Linked DNA regions of Ovis aries. The protein of the gene in region 5 purifies or fractionates together with the protein of the main gene of each other region. This does not show direct contact. Links are inferred from orthologs where the notes say so. Each region holds a gene or a part of one and is shown on either strand. Other genes may lie near its edges.

The links.
Region 1: the proteins of EHMT2 (region 5) and ZNF644 purify together in Homo sapiens (affinity purification with mass spectrometry; 3 studies listed by BioGRID and IntAct, with this or other methods). This does not show direct contact. The link is inferred for Ovis aries from reciprocal best matches to the Homo sapiens genes EHMT2 and ZNF644.
Region 2: the proteins of EHMT2 (region 5) and CDYL purify together in Homo sapiens (affinity purification with mass spectrometry; 4 studies listed by BioGRID and IntAct, with this or other methods). This does not show direct contact. The link is inferred for Ovis aries from reciprocal best matches to the Homo sapiens genes EHMT2 and CDYL.
Region 3: the proteins of EHMT2 (region 5) and DNMT1 purify together in Homo sapiens (affinity purification with western blotting; 3 studies listed by BioGRID, with this or other methods). This does not show direct contact. The link is inferred for Ovis aries from reciprocal best matches to the Homo sapiens genes EHMT2 and DNMT1.
Region 4: the proteins of EHMT2 (region 5) and CBX5 purify together in Homo sapiens (affinity purification with mass spectrometry; 3 studies listed by BioGRID and IntAct, with this or other methods). This does not show direct contact. The link is inferred for Ovis aries from reciprocal best matches to the Homo sapiens genes EHMT2 and CBX5.
Region 6: the proteins of EHMT2 (region 5) and MIER1 purify together in Homo sapiens (co-immunoprecipitation; 3 studies listed by BioGRID and IntAct, with this or other methods). This does not show direct contact. The link is inferred for Ovis aries from reciprocal best matches to the Homo sapiens genes EHMT2 and MIER1.

What each region holds. Positions count from the first base shown.
Region 1 is NC_056054.1:68,270,599-68,274,605, forward strand, and holds part of ZNF644 (zinc finger protein 644), read right to left. Parts: intron 1,170-4,007; coding exon 1,067-1,169; intron 282-1,066; coding exon 89-281; 3' UTR 1-88.
Region 2 is NC_056073.1:48,727,233-48,732,141, reverse strand, and holds part of CDYL (chromodomain Y-like protein), read left to right. Parts: intron 1-3,285; coding exon 3,286-3,496; intron 3,497-4,909.
Region 3 is NC_056058.1:12,557,736-12,562,644, forward strand, and holds part of DNMT1 (DNA (cytosine-5)-methyltransferase 1), read right to left. Parts: intron 2,261-4,909; coding exon 2,142-2,260; intron 1,808-2,141; coding exon 1,715-1,807; intron 1,290-1,714; coding exon 1,138-1,289; intron 840-1,137; coding exon 652-839; intron 545-651; coding exon 361-544; intron 1-360. UniProt on the Homo sapiens protein: Methylates CpG residues. Preferentially methylates hemimethylated DNA. Associates with DNA replication sites in S phase maintaining the methylation pattern in the newly synthesized strand, that is essential for epigenetic inheritance.
Region 4 is NC_056056.1:132,292,599-132,297,507, reverse strand, and holds the end of CBX5 (chromobox protein homolog 5), read right to left. Parts: intron 3,266-4,909; coding exon 3,165-3,265; intron 1,516-3,164; coding exon 1,365-1,515; downstream 1-1,364. UniProt on the Homo sapiens protein: Component of heterochromatin that recognizes and binds histone H3 tails methylated at 'Lys-9' (H3K9me), leading to epigenetic repression. In contrast, it is excluded from chromatin when 'Tyr-41' of histone H3 is phosphorylated (H3Y41ph).
Region 5 is NC_056073.1:26,540,719-26,545,627, forward strand, and holds part of EHMT2 (histone-lysine N-methyltransferase EHMT2), read left to right. Parts: intron 1-141; coding exon 142-226; intron 227-326; coding exon 327-367; intron 368-514; coding exon 515-670; intron 671-2,208; coding exon 2,209-2,346; intron 2,347-2,469; coding exon 2,470-2,584; intron 2,585-2,730; coding exon 2,731-2,832; intron 2,833-3,058; coding exon 3,059-3,207; intron 3,208-3,297; coding exon 3,298-3,441; intron 3,442-3,527; coding exon 3,528-3,763; intron 3,764-3,842; coding exon 3,843-4,025; intron 4,026-4,134; coding exon 4,135-4,217; intron 4,218-4,723; coding exon 4,724-4,830; intron 4,831-4,909. UniProt on the Homo sapiens protein: Histone methyltransferase that specifically mono- and dimethylates 'Lys-9' of histone H3 (H3K9me1 and H3K9me2, respectively) in euchromatin.
Region 6 is NC_056054.1:42,628,314-42,633,222, forward strand, and holds part of MIER1 (mesoderm induction early response protein 1), read left to right. Parts: intron 1-3,043; coding exon 3,044-3,199; intron 3,200-3,703; coding exon 3,704-3,836; intron 3,837-4,909. UniProt on the Homo sapiens protein: Transcriptional repressor regulating the expression of a number of genes including SP1 target genes. Probably functions through recruitment of HDAC1 a histone deacetylase involved in chromatin silencing.

The DNA.
Region 1 (4,007 bases), on a different chromosome or scaffold from region 5:
GATAATTTAATGTGGCTTTGAAAAAAAAAGACAAAGAATTTCAAATTTACATCCAATTCAAATTTGCTATTTAAACGGTTTTCTTGTTCTATGAAGCTGCTTCTGCCATTAGTAGAGAAAATGAAGTTTCTGTAATGGAGGCAGGCTTTTTGAGTAGTGATGTGACTTCCACCATGCCAGCTCCAGTCCGTGGAAGATTAGCGTTTACAATGTGTCGTTGTAAGTGCTTAATCCAGTCTTCCTGAACAGACAATGGTCCACGAAAGACCAGGCCACAAAACCTATAGAAGAAGTTGATAACAGTTCTTTTAACATGACCAATTCCCTTTATTTAACAGTTCTCTTAACATAATCGATTCCCTTTATTTAAAACCAATTCCCCCCTTCCAAAAAACCCAATTCCCATAAAATTCATGAACACAAAGGGCAAACTTTATACTGAAGATAGTACTAGACAGCTTCTAAGTACCTGTGAGGTCAAAATGATTAAATGTAATATCAAAACTGCCAATTCATACTAACTCTAGTAATACCTGCAGAGATGGGAACATTGCTATGAAAATTAATTAAAAGGTCTTAACACCTACACATCTTAATTTCAAAATGCACTATTTCTTTTTTTCAAAAATGCACTCTTCAATTTAGAATTCCTTAAATTGCATGAGGATGAGTATGGAAGGAAGTGTGAATGAGTCTGTATATCTACACTCAGAAGTACGAGTGGAGAGAAAATATACTTCTAATAAGCAGGAAGTCAAGATAATGTGAAAAACATCAAATTAAAGGAAACAAAGAACACGAATAAAACACAACAACAAAAAAAGCCACTTTTACAAATCACAATATCATAGAGGCCCTTCGCTAATATAAAAAACTTGATTAGCTGCTGAAGTACAGCATATTATGAGCCATATAAGGTTTTAAGTCTGTCTCTGAAAGTTCATTTGTAACTTGATTTTTGAGACTGTACCTTCAGTCAAAAATTAAAAATCTCAAACAAAATAACTAGTACGTCTCAAAGCAAAATCTGAAGAAACTGAGCAGATTAGGTAATACAGACATATACCTGCATCGGAGAATGTAAACCTCGTCAGCACCATGAGGTAATGATAAAAGTTTCTTCTTGCTTCCGGATCTTGACCTTGATTTCTTTTGCTTACAATCTAAGGCTAAAAAGGGGAAGAAAAAGACTTAACATTTCTTACATATTCTAAGTACACATACATACAGATACTTCTTGGGAGGTTAGACCATCTAAATCAAGTTAGAAAATGTCTGCATTCATTCGTATTCCCTGAAGCATGCACTAACTTGCAGCTGGTTCTCTAATAGCAGTAATACTATCAGCATATACTCTTCTTGTACTCATTTTTCAAACAATGCTTAACCATACCAAATCAGAACTGAGAAGATAAAACTAAAACAACTTGAAATTACGAAAGTGGTCAATTACCACAGCAATGGCAATCTTTTCTCTTACAATCGTATATACATTATTTTAACATCTGGTTAAATCTTACTTCCAGGAAAACTATAATGTCTTATATAAGATCATCAAGTTTGCATTTGATTACTTCTCCATTAATCAGATTTCACATACTTTGAAAACTTAGTAAAAAGTTCAATGCAATTCATCTTGAATTTTACAATAATAAATAGCTCTTAAAATTATAAGCTAGCCCTACGTTTGAAAGGACAAAGAATGCTCAACTTTCACTTTTAAACTGAATCTGTATTGTATACACAAGCATATGTTCTATTTTACTAGAAAAATAGATCCAGATTATCTCACATAAGTTAACAAATGGACCACAAATTAAATGATGACTATTTGTTACATTATTTTCTATTTTAAAAAAGTGATTAAAAAGGGAAAAAAAAGATTTTTACGTTAAAGTGCATCAAAATTCTAGTGCTAACTGTTCTTGAAATTTGTTACTTGACTTCTCCTTTAATCATTTATTTAAAAAAATCTAATTTAATAAAGAAAAGAGATTTTTTTCATAGGTAGGAACAGATGGGACATAACATTTTATTCTTTAAATACAACTACACCATTCCTTTGGACAAAGTGATGATAGTATTCCAGGGTGCTGCTGGTCAATTAGCAGGAAGAGATGGTAAGAATTTATCTCTAGGGGCCCAAGGGGGAAGGGAAACAAATGTAACAGAAGAGTTGTCCAAATGAATTTTCTTCTGTTAACCTGTCATGTGAAATGCCCTGGAAAAATTCTAGGGAAGAGAGAATAGGAATTGGCTATTCAATGATTGTGTGAAATGAGTTTTCAAAGTCCAGGTTCCAAAAGAACAGATGCTAATATTAAAAAACCAGTAAACAGACTACTGTTTCTTACAGTAGTCAAGTGGCAATGATAACAGAAATGTCATATAGAAAATTAAAAACCATGAGAAGCCTAAATCTCATTGAAGCCACTGTCTTTTGCTTCCTATCACTTGCCTCTTTAAAAGTCTTTCTCTGTTTATCCTCAGAAGAAGAATCTAATAAGTAAAGAACTACAGGAATTCAAGTTATGTATTTAAGAATGGCTGCTTCAAAGCTAAACAACCAAAATCTGGAACAGAAAAATCTTACAAGGTTCTCATTAGTTAGCTCATACAAGAGCCTGGCACATGGTAGGAACTCAATGAATACTTCTGCAACGAAAAATAAAGAAAAACCCAGTAATTTAATCTTTGACATTTAAACAGCGTATGAATAGAAATTTGTTCTGCCACTGTGTAATATATACTGTAGTTCCTGCAGAACACTTCTGCATCATTTGGTTAAGTGAACATGTTGCTAGCAGTCACACTTTTCTTCACTTGCCAGTCTAGCTTGTATGTAGAAACTAGGTTCTTCACAACCAGTAGAAAGAATGAGGTAACACATACTCTCTAACCAGCACATTCTTCTTTCTAGTTGCCTCGGTGAGCAATTTGAATTTAGGTGAATTTCAAAGAAATTCATACACTACAAGAGTTTAAGGAACTCAAAAAGGATTAAGTGCTACTGGATGTCAGCTCCTCTTTTCTTATCTATAAGGTAAACCACACGCAATCCCTGTCTCTGTTACATGGAATAAGGGAACCATTTGGTGTATCATGAGATTACAGACAGAATCTTTGATGAGATTACACACAGAATCTTTGATGAGCTTCCTGGGTTGTCAAAATTGCCACATTGTATTCAAATTTCTTCTAAAATGTAAATAAATTACTATAGGATACAAATAAAATATATTGTAACCATCCTTTAAATATTTGTTCACAGAGTGCCATAACGTTAGGTGTGTAAAGCAAATTGAGGGAGAGGGACAGAGGGTGATGGGCAAGTCTGTAAAAGAATGATATACCAGTCAGTTATAAAACATTTAAATCACATTTAGATGCTGTGATACTTTAAAAAAAAATGGAACTGGAAATATTTACTCAGAGGTGTAGAAATGTTTTTTACTTTAACAGAGGGAAACAAGAGTTTTTCTGACTTTTGATATTATATGAATTCTAGAAACTCTGAAGTTTAAGCTGTCTTATGAATGATCAGATCTAAATTTTAAATGAAAATACCATACTTTTGTTGTAATTAATATTTGAAGGTATTATGAGTTTGGAAAGTAGGACAACTCTGTCAGCATATGATTGAGAATCTCTAGTACTTAAGAGTTTTCTAAGTAAGTTTAGGGAATAACAAGTATTGAGAATCCTTGGAAACTTTTCCATAAAGTTAAAATGTTAAAAACCAGGGGCCTCTGGTAATTACACCTAAATATCTCTATTATCTTAATATCTCCATCATCACTTTGAAATTTCTTATCCCCTGAAATGCCATTTATGTTAGAACATAAACTATGAATATATTTAACAGGAATATTTTTTTTCTAATAACAACATCCAACTGTCACCCCTACAATACTGCCCAAAATTTTAGAAAAATGTGTAAGAATATTTAACATATTATAAATATGCACACAAAAGGGAACATCTATATGGTAATCTCTACATTAAAA
Region 2 (4,909 bases), about 22 Mb from region 5:
TCTTGCTTTGTGTGTGAAGTTGGTTTATACGCGCAAAGCTGTTACTGGGCATATTTCTTATTTGTTTGGTTCTGTGGTGTCCTGCCTCAAATTCCTTAAATCTTTGGGTAGAGAACAGCACCACCGTGAGTTTTGAAAAGGAAGGTAGGAAATAGGAACAGGCATAGACTGTGAGCTTCTCACGTTTCTGTAGGGCTAACCCTGGCTGGGATTTTTGGTGGTAACCAGTTTGCAGATTAACTGTGATAAAAATATTCAGCATACGAGTGATAAAGTTATTAGCGATCAATTTATAGCGTTAGGCTCTTGGAGTCCGGGGGACCAGGAGGAGCCGAGGCTTGAGGAGGGAGCAGAGCCCGTGAGGAAACGAGCCCTTGACCCTGACCTTGTCGCCTTCAGTCCCGGCCCAGACGCACTGGTGCAGGGGAGCTCGGCTGAGAGAGGCAGGAAACCGGCCCTGGATAGCTCAGTTCCCGTTTCCCCAAAGCATTTCTGAGGCTTACCGTTTGTAGGTGGTTTTTTAACTTTTTGGTGAGGTCTGTGGGATGGCAAATATTCTCCAAAAGAATGGATAGAATTTTGATTTTGTTGAATGGTCTTTTTAAGCTTTAAAGGTCTTCCCTATAGCTCAAACGGTAAAGAATCTGCCTGCAATGCAGGAGACCCAGGTTCGATCTCTGGGTCGGGGAGATCCTCTGGAGAAGGGAACGGCAATCCAGAGTATTCATGCCTGGAAAATTCCATGGACCATGGAGCCTGGTAGGCTACAGTCCATGGGGTCTCAAAGAGCGACTTCACTTTCACTAAAAAGTGAACTTTGTGGCAAATATAATCTCTCTCCTTCCCACTGTTCCCAGCATAGCCTTTCACTCAATTGAGAGGAAGCTGACGTTTAAATTCAGTGTGTTGTATGGGATGCATCTGAGTGCGCATGCAGTTTTAAGGTTTAAAATACGCTTGCTTTACGCCCCCAAAGCAGCAGGCAGATGGTCCGAGCGTCCAGGGCCCAGAGGCAGCTCCCACCTCTGGCAGCGTGGGGCTGAGCCCTCCTGTTTCTACTGGACAGAAAAGCAGTTGTGTGAACTTCTGTCTGGCAGCTTTCGTTTGTTTCTAACATGAAACGGATTTCTCTGCGGACTGTGCTCCCTCTGGCATCTCCGAGTCCTTAGCACGAGAAGAGGCAATGGTGTCCATTCCCGGGCAAGCTGGTCCACTCATGCTGCTCCTGGGAGGAGCCCCGGGTGCAGAGCAGGCTATCATCTCGAGCAAGAGAAAAAGAAAACTCATCTTCTTAGGGGGAAAAGTTCAGCTCCAAACATTTCTCCGAACATACAACACGAGAAGGATTAGTGCTGCGTGGAGAGTAATCCCTTCCCTTAACCATTTCTCTGTCAGTCACTGAGTCGTGTCCGACTCTTTGAGACCCCATGAATCACAGCACGCCAGGCCTCCCAGTCCATCACCAACTCCCGGAGTTTACCCAAACTCATGTCCATCGAGTCGGTGATGCCATCCAGCCATCTCATCCTCTGTCGTCCCCTTCTCCTCCTGCCCTCAATCTTCCCCAGCATTAGGGTCTTTTCCAATGAGTCGGCCCTTTTCATCAGGTGGCCAAAGTACTGGAGTTTCCACTTCAGCATCAGTCCTTCCAGTGAATATTCAGGACTGATCTCCTTTAGGATGGGCTGGTCGGATCTCCTTGCAGTCCAAGATTCTACCATTGCTCTCTAGAATCTTTATTGTTACACTGGTTTGATCCCCTCTTTCTTGTGAAGCTACCGTCCCTGTCTGTGGCTTCCAGTCGTGAGTACTGGAACCGTCTCCACTTTGCCCGCATTCATAGGAGCAGCTGAATGCAGGGCCACTTGGGGAAGATGTCTGGTTTAAGTCAGGGTTACAGTTTGGCAGTTACTTTGTTGACAGTCGTCTGTAACTGAGCATAGACGATGCATTTCCGTCACGGGTTGTTGATCTAGAATCCTCAGAAGGTGGCAGAACTGAATAGCTTCATGGAGATGGTCTGGGATTATTTCAAGGACCTATCTTAGAGGTTATCTGGCTCTCTTTGTGTCCTTGAATCCCAGGGTGATCATCATGACAGGACCCCATGCTCTCATTCATCAGCGTGAGTTAATTCTCAAGCCCCCCAACCTCCAGGGACCCTGAGTGGGCTGAGGGCTGACTCCAGAGGCCTTGGAGAACAGTCCCCCGAGTTGTGCAGCTGCCAAACACTGAGGGCCCCTCTCCCCACTGTATACACACCCACCCACCCCGCCACACCTCATCCTGCCAGAAATCCATGGCCCCTCATGTCTGTGTCTGCGGAGGAGGGGAGACTGCACGCTAAGTCGTGACTTTCAGAGCCCATCTGAACAGACTAAATTGCTGAATTGTAGGGAGTAGCACCCAGACTGAGGATCTGGAATTCTGTCCTTCTGAGCTAGAGCTCAGACAGCCTTGAAAGATTATCTTGTATTCATTTCCAGTGTGTTTATCCTTCCCTTCACTGTGTTCAGTCTTCACAAGACGCAGCCTCTGAATGCAGTTAAGATTCCGGCCCTAAACTGAAGAGCAGCCCAGCTTTCCAGAGGCCAGTGGCGTTGTCTGGGCCTATGAGACCCCTCACCCCGTGTGTGAGGGAACCTAGGCCCCCTGGGAGGCCTGCTCAATGGTTGTCGCGAGTGGCGGGAGGTGCTGTGCAGACGTGTGTCAGGCTGGGGGATGCTCTGTTGGGTCTTAGACCAGCCGCTGAGCATCTCGTCTCTGTGTCTGAATCACTCCGTCCGGTCCATATAAACTCAGGAATGCCTGTGTTTTCAGTTTATCAGTGAGCTGTCTGAAGTCACAGACCAAGTCCAGACTCAGGCCCTGAGGCTCCTGCCCGATCCCAGGCTGTCCTGTGTGGCCCCGCACCCTCTTTCCTGAGGGAGAGCTGCTGGACTGGTTTGCAGCCTTTCAGGTTTCCTGGGCTCCCCCCTGTCATCAGGGGAAGACAGGGTTCCTGGAGCCCAAGCTGAGAGCGCCCTCTGCTGTGCCGCTCCCTGGGAATTCACGTGGGTCCTGTAGCGACAGCTGCCTGCCCAGCCTCTGGGACGCCGCTCAGCCTTTGCAGCACAGCGGTACAAGCCAGGGCCCTTTGCAGCCAGAAGGCCGTCAGAACCGCCAGTTACAGTCAACGCGCACGGCCTTGACGTCTTGATGTACCGAATTCCATACAAGTAGATTTCTTTCTGTTGCCCACATTTGCAGTGTTTTGAGTAATCCCCCCTTTGCCTTCTGTTTTAGAAACTTTGTGAACACCTTCATTCAGTTCAAGAAACCTATTATCGTAGCCGTGAATGGCCCGGCCATTGGGCTAGGAGCATCCATCCTGCCTCTCTGTGACGTGGTCTGGGCCAATGAAAAGGCGTGGTTCCAGACGCCCTACACCACCTTCGGGCAGAGTCCAGACGGCTGTTCCACCGTGATGTTCCCCAGGATCATGGGAGGAGCATCTGTGAGTACCTCTTGTCAACGCGGCGTCCTGGGAACCGTCCTTGGTTGCTGCTTCTCTTAACCGTGTACAGGTGTCCCTCTGGGCAGTTCCCATCGGACGCTCGTGTTGTCCAGCTCTTGTCCTCATTCGTGAACCCGTGGGAAGTTGTCATGCTCTGGTTCATAGCATGTTTATTGACACTGTTTGGCATCATTTCCTAGAGGCCCTCCTTCCACAAGGTGCCTCCATGTCTGCATAATTAACGCTGATCCTCCCCAGGAGTGAATACCTGGTCTGTAACCCAAACCACCGAGAGTTTGCAGTGGAAAGGGCCTTGACCTGATAGCCTGGCAGCTGCACTTCTGAGGGACGCCTCGGGCCGAGTTGCCAGGTGCTTCCGCACAGAATTGCTCTGCGTGACCCGCCGCACCAGGAGTCTGGGCTGTAGTTCTGTATCTCTGGAAAGGATGTGTTGCAGTCCTCGCTCCTGGAGCCAGGGCAGGAGGCGGAGGCAGGCAGGGGGCTACCAAAGCTGTGAGGCAGCCCCTGACCCCACGAGGAGCTCCGGGGCACCCGCCGTGGACCAGAGTGGCTGGTGGCTTTGTGTGTCATTGCTGAGCGCAGGCTCCAGCTTTGCCCTTTGACAGAGTCCCTGGGGGTCCAGGCAGCTGTCCTGATGGCTTCTGGCAGCTGGGCAGCCAGGGACGGGGACGGCCGCTCCTCTGGGTTCAGAACTCGCCTCCCCCTGCCTGGGAAAGACACAGAGGAGGCCTCAGGCAGGAAGCACCACCAGACGTTAAAATTAGTAGGTGAAAAAAGGGGCAGGAAATGGATGATCCATCTCCCCCTACCTGGCTGCCCCCTGCGGGCCTCGGGGGCCGTCCTGGTGAGGCAGGGGGATACTGGTTGTTGCCCTTGGCCGTGGGCAGCGAGGCTGGACAGGGAGGACTGCAGGGTTCCCGGGCACCCACCTCCCTGGGCAGTGGTCATGGATCTGAGGCCCGAGGGACCCGCCACGCCCAGAGCTGTGAGGAGAGACGTGTCCTCGGGAGGGGCAGCCACACCTGCCCCCTGGGTCCCAGCCTGTGGGGACCTGACCCCCATTGCCCCTGGAGGGTCTCTCTGCCTGGTGCCGCCCGAGACCCCACCCACGTGTCCAGCCGGAGGCCTCGCTGTGTCTGCTGCCCCTCGCGTGGTGGGTGCCCCCTGCCTCCCTGGCTCAGCTCCCTGCCCCCCTCTCCTAGGCCCGCCCCCAGAGCCGCATGTCTCTGCAGCTTCGGCTCTACAGCAGATAGACCTTGGATTTCTTGGTTAGTCTGTGTGGTTCTGCTCTACATGAACCTCTTAGATTCAGTAAGAGTCTCCGGCCAGTGGGCCACTCCCCACGGTGCTTGCTTCACCCTTGGGCACCATCTGAACTCAGAGTGGAGAGTT
Region 3 (4,909 bases), on a different chromosome or scaffold from region 5:
TTCTGAGGACAGTTACACCATAAGACAAGACAGGATCCTGGGAGGACGACCCCGCTTGGAGGAAGCAGTGCTGGCCTCTGTGGGGCAGTCACCCCTCACCCTCACACGGGGCCTGAGGACACGATGGGGCGTGGCCAGACTGCTTTGCGGCAGCAGCGGCACTGATGGCAAAGTGCCTGCGCGTGCCTCTTTTGACAGCTGTCCCGTAAGACGTGCAAGTCCCCTTGGATAAGTAACTCCTTCTCTGAGCTCTGTTTTTGGGGGTCACGTCTACGCAGTAAGACTCTCAAGCCAAAAAGAGAAAACAGCGAGCTCCTCAGAGATCATGAGGGGCAGGAGAGCCAGCTTAGGCGAGGTTACCTCACAGACGCCACAGCGCCGGCGCTTGAAGGCATTCTCCTTGTCTTCCTTGTCATCTTTCTCAATTTGCTCCGCAAAGAAAGTGTCGAAGATCTGGTAGACCAGCTTGGTGGTGGTGGCCTTGGTGGGGCCCTTGTCCTTCTCCTTGGCGGGTTGCCGGATGGTCTGCCGCCTTTCGGCTCGCCTGGGAGAGAGATTCCACGGTGTTAGTGGCCCAGGAAGCGCTCCCACAGTGCCCTGCCTTCCAGACTCCGTCTCAGGTCTTCAGGCTCACTCCTGCTGCACCCTCACCTTTTTCCCAGGGTGACCCCGGCCAGCTTGATGAGGTCTCTCATGCAGGGGCTCAGGAAGATGGGCTGCTCGTCACTGTCCCCAGCCCGATCATAACTCTCTACTTGCTCCACCACGAACTGGGCATGCCGCAGGAGAGAATCCTCTGTGAATCGATTCAAGTTGAGCATACAAGGAGGAACAGTGGTCTTTTGGAAAAAGCAAAAACAAAAACGGAAGTTTCTCTTAGGCTTAAGCAAAACTGGTTTACATCAAACAAACATGCTTCTTGGTACATCTGTATCACATGTAAATGGGACTTCCCACGTGGCTCAGTGGTGAAGAACCCGCCTGCCAGTATCCTTTCCCAGGAAATCCCAAGGACAGAGGAGACTGGAGAGCTGCAGCCCATGGGGTCACCAAGAGTTGGACCCAAATCAGTGAATGAACAACATCACATGTAAACGATCTGTGAATCTCAGATAATGAAGGACCTAAGCCTCTTACCTCAATCTTATTGATCAGGTCTTCGTAGGTGGAGTCAGGGTTGCTCTGCAGGAACTCAACCACTATCTTACTTATGTAGATCTTCTCCTGCATCACGCTGAATAGTGGTGCGTACTCTGGGCTGGGATCCATCAAGATATACTCGGCAAATGCTGGAGTAGACAGACGCATAAGAGCAGTGTGAGCCTGACGGCAGCGGCAGTAGCCAAACGGCAGGGATGAGGCTGTGAGGCTCACGGGACAGGCAGTCACTCCACACTCAAGCGTCAAAACCCAGGAGGTACGGTCAGGGTTAGCTCATTCAGAAGGGGCCTGTCGGAGCCAACCAGAGAAGAGACTGGCCAAGTGGCTTTCCCAGCTCGACTCTGGCTTTTGGAATTCGGTCTGGGTTTCAGCTGCAAGGTCAGTTCCAGGGTCAGTTGTAACTAGTAAGAGAGGCCATCCCAATCAAGCCTGACATGCTTCCCACACAGTCATGAGAGCCCGAGACTTTCTAGAGCCCAACCAAGCCCCGTGGAAGACAGAAGCATCTTTCACTTCAGATTCCAGAACAGTCCACAGTTGGCCACATACTTACAGGTGCTGAAGCCAAGAAGAGCCTTTTCACCTCCATCAAAACCAGCAATCCACCATTCGTTTATGGGCCCAAAATTTTTGCCATTAATACCACCTAAAAGAGGAGGAAAAGGTTTCTTAAAATGAAGTGGACTAAGAAATGGCAACTCACTCCAGTCTTCTTGCCTGGAAAATCCCATGGACAGAGGATCCTTGATGGGCTACAGTCCATGGGGTTGCAGAGTTGGACACGACTAAAAGAATATGCCTCAAAAACCCAAGCAGGTTAAGTGGCACTGAGTCCCCACCTGAGCCCACACCTCTTGATCAGATGAGCAGGGCAGCCTTACTGGAGCCATCAGAGCGCGACTGCTTGTAGCTGCTCACAGCCCAGACTCTGTTCGGTTTATAAACTGACTGTCCCAGACAATCTGGAACATTCCCCTTACCTTCGGGAGATGGGTCATCCTCGTATATCGGCTTTGCTGAACCAGAAAAGAGGAGCTCGACATCTTTCTCAATGAGGCCGGTGTCGATCGGGCAAAGGTGGCCGCGTTTACAGTACACGCTAGATGGGCGACAGAGGCCGTTTACCAGGAGACCAGAGGCAGGCAGAGGCAGAGCCAAGCTTAGACACGGGGGGAAGGGGTGTGGCTCCTAGACTCCACTGCCTCCCTGGCTGCCAGAGCACTGGGTCAGCACAGTGCTCTCACCCCATAGCCTCTGATTCGCCCACCTGGGCACCCAGAGCAAGAGTATGAGAAGGGAATGTGGAGAGGCCAGCAAGACTGACAGCGGGAAGCCTCACAGGGGAGCCCCTGGCGCGTCCTCCCTTGAGGAGTGGCTTGTGGAGACGCACTGGCTGTTCCAATACCTCCTACCCAGACCTGTGCCACCACCCCCTCTAGCTCCAAAACGTTCTTGCTGCTGAAAATGAAACCTCAAACCCACTGCGCAGTCACTCCTTCCCCGCTCCCCACACCACCCCGGCAATTCCTGATCTGTTTTGTTTCTCTGGATTTACTGCTTCACACTATTTTATGTTTGCATTATGACTTTCACCTCAAAAAGATTAAGATAATGCATATTACACAGCATCATAAGAGGCGAGGTGCACTGAGGACATGAGAAGGAGGGACTTCCACCTCCCTCTAGGCGGGGGGGTGAAGCCTCAAGTTCAAGAACATCCAACGCCTAGAGACGCTCCGTGACATTTGGAGAATGTGTATCATCGAGCGGGATGCTGAATTTGAGATAGCAGGATGGGATTGGGGTGGGTTCTGCTTACGGACCTGCCTGTGCTGGCCTCAAGGCCAGAAGTGCTGTGCAGGTCTGAGAGTATCCCCCGCCACATTCCCACCGCCTAGGCCCCTGGAAGCCAAGAAATTCTCATCTTGAAATCTTACCAAATTAAGAAAAATGAACACATGAGTACTTTGAGTGGAGCTCTTCTACCAGGCATAGCAGACAGACATGGGGCACAGCCCTGCCATTAGGACCTGAAGCCGTGGGAAGGAAAGACACACACCCACGGAGGGCAGGACACGGTGGATGCACAGAAGGGGAGGAGCCAGGGCCCAGCCTGACAGACTATCCTCGTGCTCCGTCAGGAGAGGTAACATCAGGGAGAAGTGCCAAGTCCCCAGCCGGGGCAGGGCCCATTAGTGTGCAGAAGGGGCTAGTTTCCACCTGCCACCTTCAGCCCAAGGACCAGAGGTAAACAGAGTCCCCAGCTAACCCAGGTGGTCTGGCTTCAACGGCCTGATGCTCAAATGCATATGCCATTCCTGGGGCGTGTGTTCGTATTTCCCTACCCACAGGAAGGAGTCTGGGGCAGACCTGTTCTTGAGGAGCCACCCAGAGACCCCAAGCCCTGATACTCCTGATTGCAGCGGCTCCAGCCCCTGGTTCTCGTGAGCCTCTGCCCCAGCAGCGCCACAGGGCAGCACAAGGCTGTGAACATCAGCGATGCTAACATCACTCGTGCTGTCAGGCAGAGGTTTGAGCCGGGGAGTGGCCGGGGAGTGGACAGCGTCCCAGTGTGGATCAGGCTCCTGCTCGTGGAGAGGGAGAGACACACCCAACGCGGCGAGCATACAGAGCACTGCGAAGAAACACACCGGGGTTTCCTAGGGCGCCCAGCCCACTGTGGGGCACGAATGTCAAAAAGACCATCTTGAGATGATTCCACCTGAGGCTTTATAACAGGCGATCCAGCCGCCCCTACTATTCTCTTGTCCAGGGAGAGGAAAAGCATGTGCCGAGCCCTGAAAGGAGACATGAGCTGGAGCCAAGCTATTTTACACAGAGAGGCAAAGGGAAGCACCTCCACTGAGCAGGAGAGAGCAGAACAAAGGAGGCTAGAGAGGAGGGCGACTCTGCCCAATCACAGGCTTGTCTGAACCCCAAACGCAGTCCAAACTCCACGACCTCCAAGAAGACCCCAGCATCACTGCCTCAGCCTGAAGAGCCCCGCAGGATCCAGTCCCTGCCCTGGGTCCCTGTTCCCGGACCACTCAACCCCCCAGCCCCTCCACTCTAGCCACACAGCCTCTTACCTAGTCTTCCACAGCCCACGTGGCCCCCTCCCAGCCTCCACCTGCTGTTCCCTCCTCCTGGATGTCTTTTCCCTCACTATCTCCTTGGCTTGTTCTTAAGCTGAGGTCTTTGCTCAAGTCCCTTCCCCTCCATTCTGAACAACTTTCTCCCACCTACTCTCTCTGCTCCCCAGGCTTTTCACATCCATCACAATGTCACTACCCACAGGCACAGCTTGTTCTGCTTCCATGAAACCAGGGATCTGAAGTGCTGTATCTATAATACCCACCGTACATAGCTGGCCCTCAGTGGAATGAATGAGCTTTAGGATATTTACCGACTCAAGGGCCTTCCCTGGTGGTCCAGTGGCCAAGACTCCACGCTCCCCATTGCAGGGGGCCCAGATTCAATTCTTCAGGTAACTAGATCCCACATGCCAGAACCAAAGATTTGCCAGCCACAACTAAGACTTGGCACAGCCAAATAAGTGCTTTTTAAAAGGATGTTCACCTACTCAAGATCTAACAGGAATAACTTTAACAACCAAAGACCTACCAGTCATCTACCAGCTTGGTGGCCCTGAAGTGTTAGCAGCTTAAGAAACGTTGCAGATCAGGTGTTGAAAACTTTACTAAGATATTAAGGATTCAGCTGTCTTAAGAAAATGCTTTGTTACGAT
Region 4 (4,909 bases), on a different chromosome or scaffold from region 5:
ATAATCAGAAAAATAACCTCTCAACATACTGGCAAAGCAGGAAGAAGCCAAAAAGGAAATATTTTGCTGAGTTGGGGAGAGGCTGTATCAACATGCTGACGCCGGGGGCATGTCATTCTTGAAGGTTGATAGTCTTCCATAGAAATTAATTAAAAAGGAAAAATAAGATCCAACAACTGAAGAGTTTGACGGTGGAAAAAGGCAAGAGCATTAACACTTTGGGGACTCTTGGTGGCAAATCCGTAAGTCAACAAAGCAAGGAATTTATGATTATAAATGCTATGAATATTTAAAATTGATACTGTGGCCAGTGGCTCCCCTCCAAGAATTCCCCACTGAAAATAATGGCATGGAGGGTAAAGTGGGGTCCACTGAGAAGTCTGAAGCCTCTTTGGTAACACGACTGCTTTGGGAGGCCACAAAAGTTGGCAGGGTTGGAGGGTGCCTAGCACCTTGGCACAAGCACCAGGCAGTCACTCACACCTACATAAATATATAATCCAAATGAGAGAGATGGAAGGAAATAATACATACATACCAAATGTGATAATAAAGACAATTGTATCCTACCCCATCATCCTCATGTACTAATAGCTACAAATTTCCACAGTTAATAATCTTGTCATTTTATAACAGACTTCACCAACTTGCAGAAGCCGAATCAGGGACTGCTAAGAAATAAGGCCAAAAGTCCTGGGGCTAGGAGGAGTGCCTTGACAAATCTGAACGTAAAATTTCAAGCCCTCCTAAGGATGCCGCTCTTCTGGGAGGATGGTGAGGATGAACAACAGAGGGTGGCCCAGAAGACCACATCAGGAACCCTGTATTCTCCTGGGTAGAGCTGAATGAGGTTGGGAAAGCCCCAACAGGTAGGCAGTTGCTATTGGCTTTTTTAAAAGACGGGCAACATCTCTTCCATCCCAACATCTCAAAACAAAGGCTAGCTGGTCATCAACATGTTCTAAGAGCCAAAGCAAGAAACCAAAATTCAACATCATTATACCAAAATCCCCCACCTAAAAAGCAACCAACCCCGAAAAGATCAAGACTCTAAGGTGACTAAAAAGTTAAAATTCATCTTGAGGTCACAGGGGAGCAGAAGGGAGAGAGCAGGGCAAAGGAAAAAATGGTGGGAATTACACACAGTATGTAAATGCCTGGTCTTCACAGAGAGACACTTATCATGAATCAGACCATCAGTTATGTTACAAGAGAACCAATACCAACATTTCTCCTGTGGAGCACAGTGATAAGCACATTTTTTATGGATGTGTTTAGGATAGAAGGGGGTGGGTAGAAAGGAGAGGAGGCAGGGAGCTGAATGTATTATGTACAAAGAGAAATGACAGAGACCACCCCCTCCTTTAGCTCTTTGCTGTTTCTTTCTCTTTGTTTTCCGCATCCTCAGGATATGCATGCCACGTCAGTCTCTCTTCATAAAATGCTATCACAATTTGTGGACATTTAACATTAGCTTCTTTTGCAAGAACCAGGTCTGCTTCATCTGTGTCTTTCCTGGAGAGAAAGAATATGAGACTTAGAAGGGAGGAAGAATGAGAGTCTGTCCAAACACTGGTTTGTGTTACTGAATTATGAATTAGCTGACTTGATTTCCTCTCCATCAAAAGGAAAAGGATCCTAACGGCTCCAATGAATCAAATTGTTAGTAAACATCATTTAATGACTACATCAGGAAGAAAATAGAAGTCTTCAGCTAGAATAGATGGAACACATATCGGGTTTAATTAAAAGGCTGAAAATTAAACTACTCTATAAATTCTGCTTTCAGAAGTTTTATTTGTGTGTATGAGCATGTGAGTGAACACACAATCAAAGCTACATTCAGCCCTATTGATTACGCATAAATTGCTCAATCCAATTTCTGGATCATCTGGATCATGAAAGGGTCCTAACCCTCCTCATCTTCTGGCCTTTTAAACACTCATCCCTTTGGTCAGAACTGTAGGTTGGAACAATAAGAAAATAGAAACCTAAGTCAGCAAAGAATGTAAAACCTAGTCACTAAAATGAAATGCAGGAATTAGCTGCAAATTTCAATTACTCAAGTTACACTTTTTACTATCCAGTGTAACAAAAACAACAAAAATCTAGCAAGTTCCTTAATCAAGATTCCAAATCAAGAAAAAAAATTTTTTTTAAATTAACATTCCACTGAGATGTGGGAAAAGACAACTAACTTCTTTTTTTTCCCCTCCACCTAACTCCTTTTCTAGAAAATGGAGATGCTGAACTCATGGAGGTAAGCATTATGGATAGGAAGAGGAGGGGGGAAACACACAGCTTAGAGCAGCTACCCAAATTTGGACTGTGGTGGAAAAAGCTAGTTAATATGTGAATGTAAATCGTTAAGTTCCACATATGGCTAAGTGGGAAGAGCAGGCAATACAGCTCCTGACTTTGGACAGATTATAGTGATTCTTCAAATATAGGCTTCTGGGTAATTTACCAGCAAAATTTCGATCAAATAAAATGTTAAACCTCCTGACTATCCAACTTTCAAGGTAATTAGCTTCCTTAGTGGCACTGTAGCAGGAACCCTCTATTTAGAGATCCAACTTAAATCACAAGTCAGAACACTTGGAAACAGAAAGGCAGGGGGGCTGCACCATAAATCACTCTGACTTTAAGAAACCAAGCTGAGGGGAAGCAACTACACTTTCCTCTAAAGCTATTCCCTCTACCGGATGAAATAACTTGTGCTTTGGCTAGTATTATCCTTAATGCTTTTTGTTAAGATTACTTTTCTCTTTTATACATTATTCAGCGGTCTTGGTCTTCAGTGGTGGCAGAAAGCCTCACTCAATTTCTAGCCCATGGCCACAGGCTCATGGTGTAACGGTAAACGATTCAGAACTGTGTAAATAAATGGTTAGGTCATGTTTATATGTTTCCTACCTCAATTCTACCATTTTCTGGTATGTGGGCTAATGTAATTTGGCTTAATACCAAAGTTTTACAATCTTAAATCCACTCTGAACCGTAATTCCCATTTAATACTGACAGCTGGTATCAGTTAAAAATTTAGATCCCTGACAATCAAAATTCTTAGCTGGGGAGTACTCAGTCTTCCCTCCCTATCTTCCATATGAATTCAAGTCACTGCAAAGAAACACAATTGCAGAGGGAGGCCCAATCTCTCTCACCATTTCATTAGGAACATTAAGTCACCACAGGAATCTGTTGCCCCAATGATCTTTTCTGGTTCCAGTCCTCTCTCAAAGCCCCGAGCGATATCATTGCTCTGCTATAAACAGAAGATGAAGAAAGGTTATGGCTTGGAGGTAAGAGTAGAAAACCTTCCTGTTTCTCAGCTCAACAAAACACAACCTAAGTTAATATTACTGGATATCATATTTGTCACTCAATTCATAAAGTTCTTAGAACTGCAGAAATACAATACTGGGTCAGCCAGTAACAGAGATGCTAAGAGCTACTTTGCAGGAAGATGCAGCTGTCCTTTTAGTATTTCATCAAAGGCCTGGGAGTAGCCCCTAAAACTGCTAATATCCCTTAAATATTCTGGAGTCATCATCTAGGAACTCCTCTCATCCCCTAATCTAATATCCTTAAACTTGCTTCTCAGATGCTAAACAAGTCCAGGTGAACTAAATCCTTTTTCATTTTATAAACTTCAACTATACCACCTCTCAATCTGGAGTTTATTCTCTGGACTTTCAGTTCACCTAATACTGACCAGTATTTTTATTTTATTTTTATTTTTATTTTTATTTTTTTTTTGACCAGTATTTTTAATACTTCTTTACACATAGCCATCTGTACTTACAAATGAACAATGATTAAGATTAAGAAGGGATTCAAAGAACTACCATAAGATAGCAAATTTCTTTCAGAGATCACATACTATAATCCCCATGAACTGGGGAAGAGGTCCTGATCTGTGCCTGTCCCCTCCTGATGGAGATAGGTCATTAGCTTTATAGAGTAAACTGGAGAGGGATTAAAAAAAAAAAAATTCTGTAGGGGATTATTCAAACTTGGTCAAATTGCAATCATGCAATCTAGATAAGGAGCATAGGATTTGATTCCGTTTCGATGGCACTGGTGAGAGCAAAATGGTGAAATTTTATACAAACCAGGTAATTTAAACAACCTTACTATGGAAGATAATGCCAGCTTATCTAATGGTAACACAAAAAAGACTTAGACTGTCCAAATGAACTAAATCGCCAATGTCTGATTTTCATGCTAAAATCTCTGATCTGCCTTTCACCTTGCTTTCTTCTGAGAGATACAAAGCCTTCAGCATCCAGGTGGTCCCAAAGATACCAGGACCCGCACGGAGCAGGAAACCCCATGCATGAATCAGGGGACATACAGGCTCAAAAGCATAGCCTCTTTTGGGGGCGCTTAAAGGGAGGAGGGTCCCAGATGTGCACACAGCTGCTCACAGCTGGAATGCTGGCACAGCAACCAAGTCGTAAATCATAGCTGGCGGCTGAAAACAGTTTGCCACATAGGGAGGGAAGAGAAGAAAAATGTTCAAGCAGCTGAAAAGGAGCCGAGGCGAGGAAAATGCTAAAATCATCACACAGGCAGTAATCTTAAATCAGGCATAATGCCGACTAACAAATTTCCTCTGCAGTGGTCTAAAGAAAGAAACGAAATCCCCCCCTGCACCTTTAAAATATACAATCACCTATCTTACCAGCTGCCTACATGACAGCCATCAGCACTGCTGAGAATGCTGCCAGGGGCCCCAGATGAACATTACAATGTAAGGGACATGTGTGTGTGGGGGTGGTTTTCAAGGTCAGCAGCATCAAAAGGCCAGCATCCTGGCCTAGGAACCAAACTCTGCACTGGCCAGTGTCTCAAAGTCAGATTGCTCCTCCCCCCCCCCCACCCCCAGACTGCTCCTTTTTAAAAG
Region 5 (4,909 bases):
GTGGTTCTTATTGCCAGAGAACTTCGGATGGCGTTTCTGAGGTTGTGGCTCACCACCCCGCCCCAACCTGGGGCTCTCAGCTCATCCAAACAGAACCTTAGATGCTCCCTGACCCTAAGTGTGCTCCCTCTTGGCCCCCAGCCCCCAGTCCCTGAGAAGCGGCCCCCTGAAGTGCAGCATTTCCGCATGAGTGATGACGTGCACTCGCTGGGGAAGGTGACCTCAGGTCAGTCCCATCCCCCACCTGCCTGTGGCTTGCTATGGCCTGTGCTGAGGGCTTAGAGTGCCTCGGTCTCACTCCTTTCTCTCTCTCTCTCTCTTTCCAGATGTGGCCAAAAGGAGGAAGCTGAACTCCGGAGGTGGCTTGGTGAGCCGAGAGGGGCTGGGAACAGGGCCTCTCCCCCTGAGGGCTGCTTTGAGGCAGCCCCAGAGCTGGGGTTCCATCTTACCCTCCTGGGAAATGGGTTGGTGAGTGAGTGCCAGCAGCAGCAATTTTTCTTCAATCTTTTTCTAGTCAGAGGAGTTGGCTTCTACGCGGAGTTCAGGAGACGTGACCCTGGAGAAGGGGGACCCGGGGTCCCTTGAGGAGTGGGAAACGGTGGTGGGGGATGACTTCAGCCTCTACTATGATTCCTACTCTGTGGATGAGCGGGTGGACTCTGACAGCAAGGTGAGAGGGAGCCGGCCACGCTCCCAGCCATTCTGCCCCCGCATCCAGGGCTCATTGTCCAGTCTTTCCTGCCCCCCTTTTTCCTCTCTTTCCTTTTCTGAACACCCACTAGTTTCACTGCCCCGTACTATCTATAACTTATTTCCAGTGTGTGCTCTACCCCATACCATCCCCTTGTCCCTCTCCAGTGATAATCACCACCCTGGACTTGGGATTTAACAACCTGTTTTATGGTTTATTTGTTGTTTGCTTGTTTATTCTTTTGCAACATAATGCTTAGTCTTGCCTTTTATTTTTTGTTTGTTTTATCATGGAATCTTTCAGATACACAGAAAAAAATAGAATAGTGAGCCCCCAGGTGGCCATCACCCAGCTTGAAGGATTAGCAATACACTGCAGATCTTGACTCATCTCTTCCTCCCTAATACCCACACCTACTGGATTGGTTCAAAGCAAATAGCCAGGCACCATTTCATTTTATCTAGAAACATTTCCATAAGTCTCTCTAAACATAAGACCTCTTTCTGTTTTCAAAAGATTTACAGATGTTTTGGGGTTTTTTTGGCCGAATCATGTGGCTTACAGGGATCTTAGTTCCCTAGCCAGGGATAGAACCCATGCTTCCTGCAGGGGAAACATGGAGACCTAACCACTGGACCTCCAGGGAAGTTCCTACAAATGATTCTTTAATCCCATCACCTTGCTACCAATAAATCTTCGCATTTTCTCAGTTGTTTCATAAATGGGTTTTCGTTTGTCAAGTTTCAAAAGAGATCCACACATTGATCTGATTATTTGTCTTAGGTTTCTCTTGGTATATAGGTTCCCTGCCTTCTAAAAAAAATATTTTTTTTGCCATTCGTTTGTTAAAGGAACCAAGTCGGTTGTCCTGCAGAATTCTTCACACTTAGGAGTCGGCTGATTGGGAATTGACATGTAATTCTCTGTCCAGTGTTTCTTCCTATAAACTCATAGATCTAGAAGTGTGATCAGACTCAGAGGCATGTTATTTTTCTTTTTAGTTTGGAAGACTTGATAGCAGGTGCTTCCTGTTGTATCATCAGGTGTTGGACATTTGGTCTTTTATTAGTGAAGTTAAGATCAGTGGATTCAGACGATATCACCCTGATTTCATTATGGCATTTCTGATTAGCTTTTCGTGTAGTGTTTTCAGTCTCACGTGTTTATGAACTTCATAGAATCTCATACTATACATTTGTTATCTGGAACAACGACTTTTTTTTTTTCCCTGCTTACTATTATGTTGCAAGATCATCACATTTTTGCATATCACCATAGCACTGTGTTTTTCATTGCTGTATGACACGCCATAGCCCGTCTTTGTACCCAGCCTTTCCTTCCTCTCCTGTCCACAGTCATCTTCACCAGGGAACCATCCTTGGGGATTTATGGTTTTCTTGATCACACCTCCTTCTCTGAGTTCCAGGGGGATGTGTCCTACTCTGCCTCTCTCCCAAGTTCTCCCCAAGAGCGAGCTGTGGCCTGGGGTGGGGGCCACAGCTTTACCTCTCTTCCAGTCTGAGGTTGAAGCTCTGGCTGAACAACTGAGTGAGGAAGAGGAAGAAGAGGAGGAGGAAGAGGAGGAAGAAGAAGAGGAGGAGGAGGAGGAGGAAGAAGAGGAGGAAGATGAAGAGTCCGGCAATCAGTCTGACAGGGTAGGATGGGAGGCCGGCGGCCCCGGAGGAGTGGAGACTGCAGGACCGGAGGTCTGAGTCCTCCAAGGAGGGGGTTACGGACTGGGGGCCACCCGCCACCCTAATGCTCCTCCTCCTGCCCAGAGTGGTTCCAGTGGCCGCCGCAAAGCCAAGAAGAAATGGCGGAAGGACAGCCCGTGGGTGAAGCCATCACGGAAACGGCGGAAACGAGAGCCTCCGAGGGCCAAGGAGCCACGAGGTGAGGAGGCCCCTCTGCTTTGGGGTCCCCTCCTCCAGCCCCCTCCCGGCCCCCAGAAAGCGTGCATGCACACCCACGCTCCGCATGCACCCCCGCGTCCAGGCACCTGTGAGCTCGCACTCTCACTCTCTCTGTCTCTGTGTCAGGAGTGAATGGTGTGGGCTCCTCAGGCCCCAGTGAGTACATGGAGGTCCCTCTGGGGTCCCTGGAGCTGCCCAGCGAGGGGACCCTCTCTCCCAACCACGCTGGTAATTGCCAATTGCCGATTGCCGGGATAGGGAGCCACTAGGGGTGCCCTCAGGGCCAGAGGGGATGGGGAGGAGGGGGACCCCGCTGGAGCTGGGGTGTCCATGACCTGACTTTGGGGGTTCTGGAGCATGGAGGGAAAGTCAGGGTGGGGGTGAGAGGCCCCATGAGGGGTCCTGGTGGGTGAGGGGCTGGGCCGCCCTCAACTCCCTGCTCCCTCTATCCAAGGGGTGTCCAATGACACATCTTCGCTGGAGACAGAACGCGGGTTTGAGGAGCTGCCCCTCTGCAGCTGCCGCATGGAGGCCCCCAAGATAGACCGCATCAGCGAGAGAGCGGGACACAAGTGCATGGCCACGGAGAGCGTGGACGGAGAGGTGGGCCCGGGGCGCTGGCCGGCGAGATGCCAGGGCAGCCGGCCCCGGAGCCCAGCCTCACCTCTTGTCACCCGGCCTCGCCGCCCACAGCTGTCCGGCTGCAACGCTGCCATCCTCAAGCGGGAGACCATGAGACCGTCCAGCCGCGTGGCCCTGATGGTGCTCTGTGAGACCCACCGCGCACGCATGGTCAAACATCACTGCTGCCCCGGCTGTGGCTACTTCTGTACGGCGGTGAGTGACCAGCAGGGCAGCCAGGCGGCATGCCCCACAGGGGCAGGGGCTCCCGGAGCCTGACTGCGTTGTTTCCTTGCCCCTAGGGCACCTTCCTGGAGTGTCACCCTGACTTCCGTGTGGCCCACCGCTTCCACAAGGCCTGTGTGTCCCAGCTAAATGGGATGGTCTTCTGTCCCCACTGTGGGGAGGACGCATCTGAGGCCCAGGAGGTGACCATCCCCCGGGGGGATGGGGTGACCCCACCAGCTGGCACTGCGGCCCCCGCTCCCCCACCCCTGGCCCAGGATGCCCCCGGGAGAGCGGACACTTCCCAGCCCAGGTACTGGCTTCGCCCTTGCCTTCTGTCTCTTCCCTGCGTGGTCCCCATCTGCCCTAGACATTCGCACCTTCTTCCACAGTGCCCGGATGCGGGGGCAGGGGGAGCCTCGGCGTCCACCCTGTGACCCTCTGGCCGACACCATCGACAGCTCAGGGCCCTCCCTAGCCCTGCCCAACGGGGGCTGCCTCTCAGCTGTAGGGCTGCCACCAGGGCCAGGCCGGGAGGCCCTGGAGAAGGCCCTGGTCATCCAGGAGTCGGAGAGGTGAGTAGGGGTTGCACGCGTGGGCGCAGCCGCTGGGACTGGGGCTGGGAGCGTGGATCCGTGGCCCTTGGGACTGGTACTTGAATCTGAGGGCCCCTCTCCCCGGCAGGCGGAAGAAGCTCCGGTTCCACCCCCGGCAGTTGTACCTGTCCGTAAAGCAAGGGGAGCTGCAGAAGGTGATCCTGATGCTGTGTGAGTGTCGCCCTCGCTCATTCAGCAGACCCTACCTGCGCGCTGCTTGTGTGCCCGTCCCTGGGCTCGGAGCCAGGAGGGCAGCCGCGAGGGACATGGTCTTTGCCCTGAAGGACGAGGCTGGTAGGGGACGCAGACACACAGGTCGCCCGTGATGATGGGGACTGTGGTGGCGATAAACGCAGAGGCCCTGGGCCCTATTCTGAGAGCTTATACACTTTCACTCACTTGTATCTTCCCAGTGGAGACTCAGAGCGGTGAATTGGCTTGCCCAGTGCACAGGGTACTGAGGGGCTGGGGCCATTTGAACTTGGGCAGAGCTGGTGCTCTTAACGTCTACTCTCGTGAGGCTGTGCCACGGTGGATGTGAGCACAGGGGAGGCCCAGGAGGCACCCCTGACCAGGCCTGGGGTCCTGAGAAGCCTTCCTGAATGAGATGCCACCCACCCCCACGCTTGCTCACCGCATGTCCCTCCCTCTCCCGGTGTGGTGGGCTCTCCCCACAGTGGACAACTTGGACCCCAACTTCCAGAGTGACCAGCAGAGCAAGCGCACACCCCTGCACGCGGCTGCCCAGAAGGGCTCTGTGGAGATCTGCCATGTGCTGCTACAGGTCAGCGTGGGCCCCACCTGGGACCACAGCACCCCACCCCACCCCACCTCAGCCCCTCCCTGGTGCCAACAGACCTTCC
Region 6 (4,909 bases), on a different chromosome or scaffold from region 5:
TGGTTAAATCTGTTGATTTCTTCTGTGGGGTCCCTTGTTTGTTCTTTACCACAGTCACTAATTTCGTTCAGATTCTGATTATGCTCTGATAAATGATAGCAGTGGATTCCAACTTAGCAAACTAAATTTCTCCCTGCCTAGGTTCATCTTGAATAATAGGTTGTGTGCATAATTTTCCCAAAGCCCTTCTATAGCGTCAATCATTGTTCAGCAGCTACTCTCAAATGAATCAAAAGTAGACTATGACAGATGCCTTTAGAAACTAAGTAAAACTAGAGAAAATAGGTTAAAAAAAACTAGCCAGCCCTTTTTTTTTTTTTTAGTTACTGCAAATCAGGATAACCTGCTTATTCATTTTTTGTTTCTGTAGTCGTTCAGTTGTTTCTTTGACTTGTCTTGACTTTTCTCTGCCAATTCTGTTACTGTTTCTCTAATTCGGCACTTCTCTTTCAAATACAGTGATCAATCACTTCTGACTCTACTCTGTTCTCTGCTTAGTCAGTATTGGGGGTGTTGCCAACTTTTTCTTTGAGAAATGAGTTTTTATAAAACAAGTCACACTTGTCATATGTGTAGCCAAGAGAGAAAAATCTTGGACTTAACCATGAAAGTCAGATACTCCACTTTCCAAATGATAGTTAAAAGAAAGAAAGAAAAAAATTCTTTCCATGCAGTTGGTAGATTACTTATCTTTTTGACATATAACTGAGCTAGATGTCAGCTGTTAGTGACAAGCTTTATTAAGGATAATGATCACAATTTATTATGTTCCACTGAAAAGCCTGGTTTGCAGTTACCTTATCCTAGAAATGATGAGAATGGTTCTCCAGATGGTCTCATACCAACAACATCAATATCACCTGGTACTTTAAAAAATGCAGAAACTCACGCCTCACCTCAGCCCTGCTAATCTTTGAGGTAGAGTTCAGTTGTAAGTTTAAATAAGCCCTCAAGGTGATTCTGTTGCCCTTGAGTAAGACAGATCAAAGGTAGAGAGCCTGTTGTTGTTGAGCTACTAAGTCGGGTCCAACTCTTTGCAACCCTGTGAACTGCAGCAGGCCAGACTTCCCTGTCCTTCACTATCTCCCTGAGTTTGCTTAAACTTATGTTTTATTTTATTGGTAATCATACCTCTTTTGGTGATCTCTCAAAGTATCAGTTAAACGCAGTTGTAAAAATTAGAGATAACAGCATATTAAGGTAATCTTAAAGATGAAATATTATGAAACAAGCTGTTGGTAAATTCTCAAGGTCCATGTGAATGTTGGTTGCAAGCCTACACTAAAGTGTTTTTCTTGGTTTGGCCCTTATTCATAATAGTGACCTCAGTGGCGTCTTGCTCATAGAAGTGACTTCAGTTGCTAAACCTGCTTCTAATTTGCGATGCAGAATAAGTTTATGGAAAATATGAGCTGAGATTAAGAGTTCTGGGTATTACAATAAAGTCTCTGTCAGTACATCATGTTTCTCTCTGCTTGGCTTTCTTATTTACATATAAAGGTACCACTCTCATCCGGTACTTTTAAAGATCAAATAAGATAGTATAATATTCTCACTTTGTTTTTGTTAAGAAACAAGAATACGGTAGTGAATCAAAGCATTTATCACAAATGCCTGGCATATAGAAGATGTGATGGCAGCTATATGTTATCATTGTTTATTTAACCCATCTTTTCTACATCATATTCTTATTTCTTTCTTGATTTTGAAGTTCTTTTTTCTTAAATCCTGACTCCTAATTCCTAAATTTCTGTTTCTTTGTACCAAATGCTTATACTGGACCAGGTGTCTGGAGGGACTAGATCCTTGAACACTTCAAGCATTATCTCTTATTGTACTTTGAAGGTCACAGTAATTAAGTCAATTAAGTATACCAACTTGTCATTGATTTCTTTCAGAAACAGATTCACAAACTGATTTATAACTACAGTATCCATGTACAATATGAAATATTAATAGAAGTGTTAAACAGCATTTTCTTCCTATTTCTTTTATAAGGAAATTTTTTCCAAATTATCATTATTTGCTTTTTACACACAAATTCTGAGTGATGGGAGTTAACTGTATGATCTAATTATTTAGTACCATCAGGTTATATCCTCCAATCTGATGTATTCATCCTCACTATGAGACGGTATCTCACACACAGGCTAAACTTGTTTCTGTCCATGAGTAAGACTGTGTACTGCTGGAGAAATACAAAGTCTTATTTCACGATTATCCTTTTTCTAGGTTCTAAACTGACTCGGTTAAGTTTTTCTTCAGAGTGTGTATGTGTATGTTATAGGCTCAGACTATTTGGGTTAAATTTTCTTTTAATAATTTTGTCATGTTTCGCTGACACTCTGTAACACTGTATTACTGATTAGAATGAGTACCTTCTGCAGAAATCTCATTTCATTTCATAACGTGGATATTTCTTCATTTCACCCTCAGGAAAGTGTGCTTTTTGTGGTTGGGGGAGGTTCAGGTCCCTGGCTGAAACGGCCTGATACACTGTTAAAGAGTATGGGTTTTGTAATTAGACTCAAAATCTGTTTTCACTACTTGTAACTTGTGTGGTTTTTGGAGAAATTGCTTAATCTGCTCGCCTCAGTTTCCTCATCTATGAAGTGGAGATAGCACAACAGTTTTGTAAGATGTACAGTAAAGATTACGTGAAATGATTTTACATAACCCTAGGAAAGAATATATGGCTGATGTAATCCAGTATCATTCATGTATGTTATTGCTGTTTTTAATGTGTTTTGGCTGGGCTCTGAATTTCATTCCCCTTTCTTGGTTTCTGTTTCCCCACTGCCAAATTATGTATGGTACTCATAGTAAATGTGAACTGATTGTTGGTGTACAGTCACTGAATTGAAGCAGAAAAGAATAGTAAAGATTAGGGTTTTTCTGGTTTCAGAATTATATTGTTTTACCTTTTATGATTTGTGAATTCTTGATAACAGTTCTAAGAATATTCTGCTGTATTAAGATTTGTGAATGATAGGAATATGAAATGTCATCTGTTAAAAATTTAACTTTTGTTCGGTCTATTTAGGAAGGCGACATGCCGATTCATGAACTTCTCAGCCTTTATGGTTATGATAGTACTATTCGGCTACCTGAAGATGATGAGGAGGAGGAAGAGGAAGAGGAAGAAGATGATGAAGATGCTGATAATGATGATAACAGTGGATGTAGTGGGGAAAATAAAGTAAGGTTATACATGTATTTTTATCTTCCTGAAGTTAAAATTTTATTGATACATTGATTTTGATTGCTTGTTTTTGTCATTTCTTTTCACTCTAACTTTAAAGGCAACATATTTAAATGTTAAAACTTAAGATATAGACATATCTTAATGCAAATTGGAAGTTCCCTGTAATCTACTCCAGAGAGGCAATAGTTTGCTCTGTCATTCCTGTTTTTTTAATGCCTGTTCTAAATAAATTTGTACCAACTTTTAAAATGCTGTTTTTTTAAAGTAATAATGGTTAATTGTACTCATTTTTATTTTGTTTTGAAATAACTTCAGGTTTGCATAAGAGATTCAAAGATAATTCAGTGCATCTCTTTGTACTCTAGTCGACTTTCTCTACTGTTAGCATCTTGTGTAACCATGGTATATTCATATAGTCTTCTAGTTTTATCTGGAATACTGTGACCTTTCATCTGTAGCACTTTTTTTCTTAAAGAGATTTAATGTGTTATTCCACAGGAAGAGAATATAAAAGATTCCTCAGGTCAAGAGGATGAAACTCAGTCTTCCAATGATGATCCATCTCAATCTGTTGCTTCTCAAGATGCCCAGGAAATAATCCGTCCACGTCGATGTAAATATTTTGATACGAGTAAGTATTATTAGTTACTATTTTTTTATATGATTTTTGCTATTTAATATTTTAGTGGTTTTTTCCAATACTCTGAATTCATTGATTTGGAAATCTCTCTCATCAGTAATGGGATTTTGTTCTAGATTATTAGTTTAGTTGTACTGGTGCCATGTTGTCCATGAATATGCTACTGTAATTATTGTGTCACTATGATACCTGATTTTGAATGTGTTCCTTTTTTTCCACTCTTGACTGTTCTTTAAATTTGTTGTTTCATGGTCATCTTTTTTATTTTTCCTAGTCTTTTCCTCAGTTTTCCATTTTCTGCTTTCTTTGCCTCTCAGTCTAGATAATATTCATAAGCATTGCTTTCTCTAACCAGTGGTTCCCAAGTCTAAAGAAATTGTTGGCCCTTGAGGTAGGAATATATTGTACAGAGAAAGAACTCTGCTGATGTTTCTACCTCCTCAAAGTCATTGACCAGTAGTCGATACAACATTTAACGTATGTATCTTGAATATTTGCATGTATCACTACTCCATAATGTTTTCATTCTAAGCAAGAATCCTTACCTTAGAAGTAAGGTAAGAAAAAGTTAACCATTAGTGTTGTTAGTTTAAATATGTAGTTTAAATTTCTATATTTAAAAAAGAAAAATACTTGGATACAATATAATAACCTCTCCTGAAGTGTGGTAAAGTAAAAATTGATTAAACATGGTTACTGCTTTGTGTGAATGACTTCTGTTACACATTTTTGTTTAGAGGTCAGTGTAGGGCTGCTGGTGATCATTTTATTGTGAATTTTTCATTTAGAGATACAGTCCAACTGAAAAGTGTTACCACTGCACAGAGAAATTAATTACATTTAATTATTTGGAGAAAATGTATTTTTCCCCTAGTTAAACCAGGAGCAGGTCCATTGCCAAAATTTGCTTAAAAGTGGAATACTAAGTGACTGCGTCTTGAAATAATATATCATAGTTCAGATGTTATTTCAGTATGCATGGAAACTATACATACAGTGCCCATCTTAGCTTTTCCATAGAAAGAATTAATTTCTGTGTGTGATGTTACCATTTTGAATTTTGT